Linked DNA regions of Drosophila melanogaster. The protein of the gene in region 1 interacts with the protein of each later gene in a pairwise test. Each region holds a gene or a part of one and is shown on either strand. Other genes may lie near its edges.

Region 1 (5,104 bases):
TTGTTTATAATTGATAATTGTTTATTTAAAGTATTAAATGTTATGTTTCGTTTTATAGACGATATTTGATGGCTCGCAGAATGGGATACTTATCGCCTGAGCACTGTCCACGGAAATCATCGTAGCTCAGATCGAACAGCGCCACGCCCCCTAGGTTCTTGACACGGGCATAGGCTGCCTTATTGGAGGCGGAGTCGGGATCATCGTAGCTCACCCAAATGCCCTCGGTTATCTGACCATCCACTGGGCGATAAGCTATGCCTCCGAATCTCTTGGTGGGATCAGAAACTCTTCGCAGTGGCGATTCGTTGCCCTTGAGGAATTGATTTTGGGGATTGGACAACTTTCCGCAGATTTCAGCATAGCTTAGTAATCCAGGCTTTTGGGACTGGAAGCCCTCGGGTGCTGGTCCACTTGTCTCCGGCACAACAGGAACTCCTTCGAGACCCGAGTCCTTGGTAAGTTTCCATGCATTACCATAGGTGGCAACTCCCAAATTGATCTTATTGGATGGGAATCCCTGAGATAGCCAGTACTCCACCTGGAAATCAGCGTTAAGGTGTGCCAACCTATCCTTCGATCCATCGGGATGGTAGATGGGAGCACTGTAGTCCGCCTCCTCGGGATTACGGGCTGGTGTCAGGAAATCGAAGGTAGCCAGGTTCACAAAGTCCACCAGGCCATTCAGAGCGGGAATATCAAAGTACCCTAAAGTCATAATTAAACTAAAGTATAATTACATATTGTTATTATTTTGAAATACCTACATGTTGAGTTTACATTGGGCAGCACAGTCAGACTGAGCAGAAATCCATCAGCTCTCAAGGAGTCCTTTACATCCCTTACTAAAGCGGTAAACTGCTCCTTATGAAGGGCTGCGTGTGGATCCACTATGAAATCGCCGGTGAACAGCTTCTTAATACTCTTCCATGCCAGTCCAAGATCACCGTGAACCTTTCTTGGCTTATTCTTTGGGAACTGATAGGCCAGATCCAAGCCATCAAAGCCGTAGGTCTTAACCAAGTCATAGGCCGATCGGATGAAACCAATTTGACGAACCTTCTCGCCCTCCAGCAGATCGATATACTTGTTGGGATGATCAGGGTCGATGTCATGATCGCCGCCCACACTCAACAAAACTTTCAGGTGGGGATACTTCCTCTTGAGGGAGGTAACCTCGGAGAACTGATGCTTGTATATGTCCAGGTTCTCGTTCATACTGTACGCCTGTAGGTTTTCACCTCTCAGCCCAGCATAGCCGTAGACCAAGTGGCTGCAGAATTGCAAGGCGATCTCCAGATCGGGATTGAGCAGCTTGCCCAGACCTGGAAAAAACACAGTTTAAATTCAAAAGATGGCATATTTAGTATGCACGAAAAGTACAACGAGCTGCACTCGAATAACAAATAATCCCAGAGACTCGAAGTGGTCATTGCTGTGGGACACTATCTGCGCACAGTGATCCGACACCCAACACTCTCGCTCTCGGTGAAAACTACCGGAGAGCGGAGATCGGAGATCGGTGTATCTCCCCCTGACCAGAGCCACCTCCTCTCGGATGCTGATCCATTGTCTCGTCGACTTCAGTGGCTTAATTGAACGCCAACAGTGTGAGCCCAGCGAGCGGTTTATTATTGTTTGGCTCGGCTGCAGAGCACAGTGGGTTGAGTTGTGTTAAGAGCTTAATGTAAAATATAATCATTTGCATTTATATAAGAATATTTAATTAAACGTTATTTGAAAGCAGAATTTATAAATGAACTTTTCGGTTTGTACCTAAACATATTTCTGAACATACATTTGAGCTGCTAACAAATCAACTTCAGTCATTTTAACTTCTACCTGTTTTAAAAATTTTTACAAATTTAAATTTATTTAATTAATTATTAATTTTATTTATTTACCTATCGAATGCATCTATTGGACGATATTTATCTCATTTTTCCCCTATCCTAAGGACACTGTGCAGCGCTGCTGAGTCACTTGGTGCTCTGCTTGCCACTTGCTCGGATCGCTGGTGCCAAGTCAGCGTCCGCTGGCGGGGCAGTTGTCGTGCTGGACTCGCTGTGTGTTGAACGCTCTGGTTTTTCATTTCGAATGCGTGGGATCGGCTCAATAATATAGACTTAACTCGCCCTATACCAAAATAATCAACTAATTGCCATATTTTGAGAATTCATTCCATTATTTTTGTTTGGTAAGTTACACCCGCTCAAATTAGCTTGTTAATCCGATCAGAACTTCTGCTTTTTATCGCTTTGCGAGCGAAACTCTGCGGGAGAGCCAGTCTCTGTGTTTTATTTTTGAAAAAGAAATAAACTGGCCAGATAAGCCACTGACCTCTATAAAACTAGCTTTGGCTCTCTTTATCTCTCTGTTTCGCTCGCCAGGCGATAAGCACTGCAAGTTGAATTAAATTAAGTCCGAGTTTTGTTTTGAATCAGAAATGGTTATGTAACTCGATTAGGATGCTTTTGTTTTCATTCGTCTGTAAATTTGGCACACGCTACTCAAAAGACAGGCGGTATTTTGGTAGGCTTTTTGGATAACTTTGAATAAATGATTAATACTTTCAATTTTACTCCCATTCCTCATATTTTAGTTCATTTACTAAATGTGTCGTTCAGTTCAAACGTGGCTTAGTTGGTTAATAAGGTTTTACCAGAATTACTGTTTTTCAAAGCTTTTCAAAAGGCATTTTGGATGACAATCAAGTGTGTATATTCATAAAACCTAAGTTGGTCAGTTTTCATTCATTAAAAGAATTTAAAACAGATCAACAACATTTTAGTGAGTAATACTTATAATACTCTAGTGCTAAATGGAACCAGTTTGAACAACTAAATTGTTTTTACGTTGTAACTTTTTCTGTGTTTGATTGCTAGATAGAATATTTTACAACAAGTTAAAACCTCATCGATCTGTGATCTAAGTTTTCTAAAGCTATGTATATATTATTTGTCTGTCATATTCACTTTCTGGAGTATTCCGACCACCTCACTCACCTTCCCTGGTGTAACTCGAAGAGTCATAGTAGCAGACTAAGTTGGAGGCAGCTTCTGTACTTGCCGCAAAGAGGCACGCGACAAACGTAAACCAGATCCACGCCTTCATGGTGCCAGGGATATATCTCTATAGGCACAACCGCAGAGCAGATCAAATGAAATCGAACTGAGACTGAAATCGAAATGGAAAACGAAACCGAAACCAAAACCCCAGCCCCAAGCCGATGACAAAAAGCTTGAGCGGAGCTTTAAGAGGGGTCTGAAAGCCGATCTGAAGCCGAGCTCATTGCCTTACTTATTCTCGCAATGACTTAATTGTGTACACAGAAATTAATGACGACGATTGCGACGAGGCAGACGCAGGGTCAAAACGTTGTGACCTCTAAAATTAAAAAAAAAAAAACAAGCAAATAATCTGAAAACATTGAAACGCGCTTGCTGATTAGAATTCGAAAACAGTGTTTCTGATTGGTTTCGTAAGTGTACATATATAGAACTAAAAGCGGTGGAAATACCCGTCTATACCACATGATTTAGTTTATCACACGCACTATAGAATTCAGTTTTGTTTTGCAACTCGTATGTGTTTGAATATATTATTGTGGGTTTTTAGTAAATTACAAACCAATGATTTGTATTTTTGCCAAAAAGGTTTTTTCTCACTGAGACCGATTATTAAATAATGTGTTCAACCGCAAACATGCGCTTCAATATTTGTAATTCAAATGAAACATTTATTAGAAAACTTAAAATATATGGCTTTGTTAGGCTTAACAAACAAATCATTTATCCCATAAAGTACTTAATTGACCGCAGTATGGGGTACTTTTGGCCAGTGCAAAGTCCACGGAAGTCATCGTAACTTAAATCGAAAAGGGCAATTCCGCCGAGTCCTTTGCCCTTGGCATATACTGCCTTTATTCCAGCAAAATCCGGATCATCGAAGCTCAGCCATACGCCAAAATCTCCATTATCATCTGCTGGCCGGAGAGCGTAATTTCCGTATTTCTGGGTGAGATCCGTGACCTTGCGGAGCGGCGCCAATTCTCCTCTATATTGAGCGGATGCGTTCTGCGACAACTTCGAGCAAATCTCTGGCCAACTTAGTAAGCCCTCAGCACTCTGGATTTGTATTCCGCCGGGTGCAACTCCACATGTCTCATGAACAATGGGAGCACCACTGAGTCCAGATCCCTTCGATAATTTCCATGCTCTGCCATAACTGGCTATTCCCAGGTTCAATTTTTGGCCAGGACAATGATTCTGCAGCCAATAGTTAATCTGGAACTCCACATTCAAATGGGGCAAGCGATTCTGTTCGTCCTGGAAGAAAATCGGAGCTGTGAAGTCCGCCTCCTCGGGATTTCGTAGTGGGGTGAGAAAGTCGAAGGCCGCCAGGTTTATATAGTCGAACTGGGGATGCAGTTTGGGGACATCGAAGTACCCTAACGAAATGATTGATTAGGTGGTTAATAAAATAGTTCCTACTATATGTAAAAATAGGATATATACTTACAAGTGGAGTTCACATTGGGCAGGACTGTCAGAGACAGCATCAGATTAGCAGATCGAAAGGCATTCTTTATATTTCCAACGAGATCGGTGAATTGTGACTTGTGCTCCTCCGCCTGCGGGTCCACAACGAAGTCACCAGTGAAAAGCTTCTTGAACGACTTCCAGTAAGATCCAAGGGATCCATGGACTTTTCTGGGCTTATTACGGGGTAACTGGAACGCGAGATCAAGGCCATCGAATCCATTTCGCTTAAGCAAAATCATGCTGCTGTCTATAAAATTCTGCTGAGCCGTGCGATTCGCCTCCAGAAGCTCTACATATTTATTGGGGTGGGCCTCATCCACATCGCGATCTCCACCCACGCTGAGGAGAATCTTCAGTTGAGGAAACTTCTGTCGCAGGGCGGTGATGTCCTTGTAGTAGAACATGTCCAGGTCCACATTCAGACTGAATAGCTCGAGGGTACCGGACTTCAGGCCCGCATATCCGTAAACCAAATGGGTGCAGAACTGCAGGGCCAAATCCAATTCGTTGGTATGCATTTTGGCCAAACCTTGGCGCAAATACGAGTTGGAGTCATAATA
Region 2 (3,851 bases), on another chromosome or scaffold:
CAGTATGACTTGCTACCGGGAGTTTCAACCAACTACAACGGTGGAGCCTCGGTCTCCGTCTTGGACTTTGCGTCTAAGGTCATTTCAAGTGGAACTGACGACGGGAATGCGTTCGTTCGCAAGGTAAACGCACCGTCGACAAGCCCGTACTTGCCACCTTCTCATGAAAAGTATTAGTTTAAACGCAAAATAATCAGTATAAGATATAACCGAAGACATTAGTGCCTTTGGTATAACACTATGTTTCAATGTCGTGTTACCGGGAAAGGAGATTAGCCGTGACTATATGCAATCATTACGGACGTAGTCCACGTAGTGAAAAAGAATGTGCCACGGGGACCACAATATGTATAGGAATCAATGATAATCTGTTTTTTCTATAATAATAATTTGTGCTAAACAACTTTATTTAAAAAACATAACGGCATTTTTAATTCTATGCATGCTTAGATAACGTTTTTTGTACCGACAAAACTGTACAGGCCATAAAATTCCCCTTACTTATGGTATTTAATAGTCGTAAAAACAAAAAACAAAAAAGAATGCTGTAGTCGAGTTCCCCGACTATCAGATACCCGTTACTCAGATCAATTCACCACTTTTCTGGTATTTCGATAGATATTGGAGAATAAACTGAGGAAAAATTTAATAAATTTAACAAGGCAAAAAGCTGCGTCTATGTACATGATCTCAACTCTCTAGCCTCTATAGTTCCTGAGATCTCGACGTTCATATGGCCGAGTCGATCTGGCCATGTCTGTCTGTTCTATAAAAGCTGGATGGATTAGATCAAACACCCACAAATCGCCAAAAGCTGCCACACTGTTCAAAATTGTAAATAACATATTTTTAATTTTTTCCTGCCAATTTCGATGGGTTTTTGGCATGTTGTTTTGCCTCCACTTTAACGCTAACAAACCGCCCAAAAAATGTTGCGATTACTCGTTCGCACTCCCTCTAGCTGAGTAACGGGCAATTTATTTCATTTCGTCAAATGAAAACTTGATTTTTGGAATGTTTTCGATTGAAACTTAAAAACATCGACTCGCCTAATTAACGCTCAACTGCCGACCAAAATTCGCTTTACCACACTTTATAAGAATATTTATATTACTCGTAGAGTTAAAGGGTATACTAGATTCGTTGAAAATTATGTAACAGGCAGATCCAACCATATAAAGTATATATATTCTCGATGAGGATCAATAGCCGAGTCGATCTGGCCATGAACGTCTGTCCGTTATTTCCATTACCGTTATTGCCCATTATTTCCAATTACCGTTGTGCAAGTAGAAAACAATTGAACTAGCAAGTAAAAGCATTACCCATAACAATAGTATTGTTAGCATGATTCCAGGTTGGATTCAAGCCATGAAGTGCTATATTTCTGAAGAACTGAGCATATTTTCACAAATATCTTTGAGCTTATTGGTTTTTCTGCATTTTTGAAAAGACTTGTTTAATAACAAATTCATTTATACAACATCTGCGACAAAGCGAATTTTATATGCAGATAGATCGCTTCCCACAATTTTGGTCATGAATGTGTATAAATTGGGTTTCCGTCCATAAAACTTACTTTCTTCATATTATCCCAGTTTTGTCAATCGAACCGCTTTACCTATTAATATTTTGCATATAAATATATTCAGCGTTGACAATGGGGATCTCAAGCGATTATTTAAATTTGAACGCAGCGTTGGTCGCCAAGTTAGATAAGATCCCGGACTGTTCAAGCAGTGCATCTGCGCACACGGATCTGTGATTTGGCAACCGCCAATGTGAAACGTTACATATTCGAAGTTGTGAAGTCTATAATAGATTCATACGATTTATGGTAGTGCCTAATAATTTTTTCATTTATTGGGAAAACGATGCCAGCCTGGACAGATATAAAAACATAGCAATGGGAAGGCAGGGCATCATTCGACCCTAGCAGCTCAGACAGTTCAAAGTGAAAATGAAGCAGTTCGTTGTTCTAATGGTAAGCAACTGGCACATGAGCGATCCCCGCAACAACTAACACTTAATGTGCTCTTGCAGTGCCTGGTGGCCCTCACAGCAACAGCTCCTCAGGGATACAAGTACCAACCTCAGCTGCCAGCCCTTCCCATTGGCAATCTTCGTCCTCTGACACCCATTTCGTCAAGTGGAATATACGCAAGTGGCGCCGTCCCATCTTTCCCACAGGCCGGTGCTCAGCCCGCGATCGGTGTCCAGCCAGCCATTCAAGCCGTGCAGACCATCGTTGCCGCTCCTGCTCCCGCCCCCGCTCCCGCTCCTTTGTCGATCTCACTCCCAAAGGAGACTTTCCTTACTGCTTCGCCCCAGCAAAACCTGATCAGCACTGTGCAGCAGCAGCCTCAGCAAATCGTGTACCAGCAGCAACCGCAGCAAGCCCTTCAGACCCAGTTCGTCCAGCGCCCCGCTATCGTTACCAAGGACATTTACATCCACTCCGCCCCCGAGGAGAATGAGGAACTGCGGCAGGACGAGCCACTTCTGGAGAATGTGCCCATCCGCAAGAACTACCGGATCGTCTTCATTAAAGCGCCTTCCCAGAATCTGAAATATACCGCCGCGGCCCTGAAGCGGGCCCAGTCAAGCAACGAGGAAAAGACCGTCATCTACGTGCTCTCTAAAAAGCCCGATCTCACTGAGATCCAGCAGCAGCTGCAGGTTACCCAGTCTGAGGCCAAGGTTCAAAAGCCGGAGGTCTACTTCATTAAGTACAAGACCCAGGAAGAGGCCCAGCGCGCCCAGCAGGAAATCCAGGCCCAGTACGACGCCTTGGGAGGTGCAACCCACATTTCGGACGAGGGAGTGGCTCCCATCGCCAGCGTTTCGAGTGGCTCCCTTAACCTGGGCAGCTTTGTGCCCCAGCACTCCCAAGCTGGCCAAACCATCATCCACTCTCAGGCGCCAACCATTATCCAGCCACAGGGTCAGCCCATTGTTCAGCTGCAGTCTATTAACCAGGGGGTCCAGGGGGTCCAGCAGCAGAGCTCCTTTGTGCAGAAGTCCACCTCCTCATTCGCTCCCTCGGCGCCATCAAGGAAGTATGTGCCGGCAAAGACTTTTTAAAAAGTTGTAGTAAGAATCCTATCGCTTTCATTGTTTTATATCAACCATCATACTGTAGTAAATTTTAATTTATTTTTAATGCAAAAGTCGAAAGTCGAAAGAAATATAAAAAAATTTAAATCGAAACCCAAAAAGCCTTCTGTTTCTAGTACTCGTTTTTAAGTTTAATCCTTTTAATATTTTAGATAGGTTTTGTTTTAGGATTTGGAATTAATCTTTCATTTAAGGCATAGCTTGAGTTTAATGTTTCTTATGAAAACGCTGTTTATTTTTATCACAAAAATGTTTCAATGGGCTAAGAGACTATGACAATGACTTCTTTCTCGCAAGAAAGTTTGGACCATCTCTTTTGGCATTAAGCCAACAGCCATAATAATCAAGTTTTCGTGTGGCTTAATCGTTGTTATGTAAGTCAAATCACATGCTAATTTATGCGACCGGTTTTCGGCTTGGATGGCTGTCATTGGACTAATGGATGTGGTAACATGGTCCATAGAAAACTATTTTGTTACTTTGAAGTATTGAAACTCGATTTCATATTTGAATATGGCTGCAGAGTCGCTTTCTATCATAAGGCGGAGCTCAAAATATGAACTTTATTTAACTAAATGTGTAAATTACAAGAGTTCAAGTCTTAAAATTACGACAGTGGCCTTGGAGTTGTACCTAAGCACGCAGATTAGTTGGCAAGTAGCTGTTTGGCAAGGAGCCAGAAAACTGTCCGGATGAAATTCCGTTGTTGCGCTGGTTGTCCAGTACGCCAATCA

Evidence for each region. Proteins that work in one complex are often made in the same cells at the same time.
Region 2: the proteins of CG5888 (region 1) and TwdlF interact in a two-hybrid assay, tested with the Drosophila melanogaster proteins (one large-scale study listed by BioGRID).

What each region holds. Positions count from the first base shown.
Region 1 is NT_033779.5:16,445,407-16,450,510, reverse strand, and holds the start of CG5888 (uncharacterized protein), read left to right. Parts: upstream 1-2,041; 5' UTR 2,042-2,197; intron 2,198-3,005; coding exon of another isoform or gene 3,006-3,114; exon of another isoform or gene 3,115-3,181; intron 3,182-3,717; exon of another isoform or gene 3,718-3,791; coding exon of another isoform or gene 3,792-4,450; intron 4,451-4,521; coding exon of another isoform or gene 4,522-5,104. Other genes in the region: Idgf2 (imaginal disc growth factor 2), read right to left, coding at 53-708, 768-1,325, 3,006-3,114; Idgf1 (imaginal disc growth factor 1), read right to left, coding at 3,792-4,450, 4,522-5,104.
Region 2 is NT_033777.3:4,245,101-4,248,951, forward strand, and holds TwdlF (TweedleF), read left to right. Parts: upstream 1-1,919; 5' UTR 1,920-1,960; coding exon 1,961-1,984; intron 1,985-2,043; coding exon 2,044-3,084; 3' UTR 3,085-3,213; downstream 3,214-3,851. Other genes in the region: TwdlG (TweedleG), read right to left, coding at 3,751-3,851.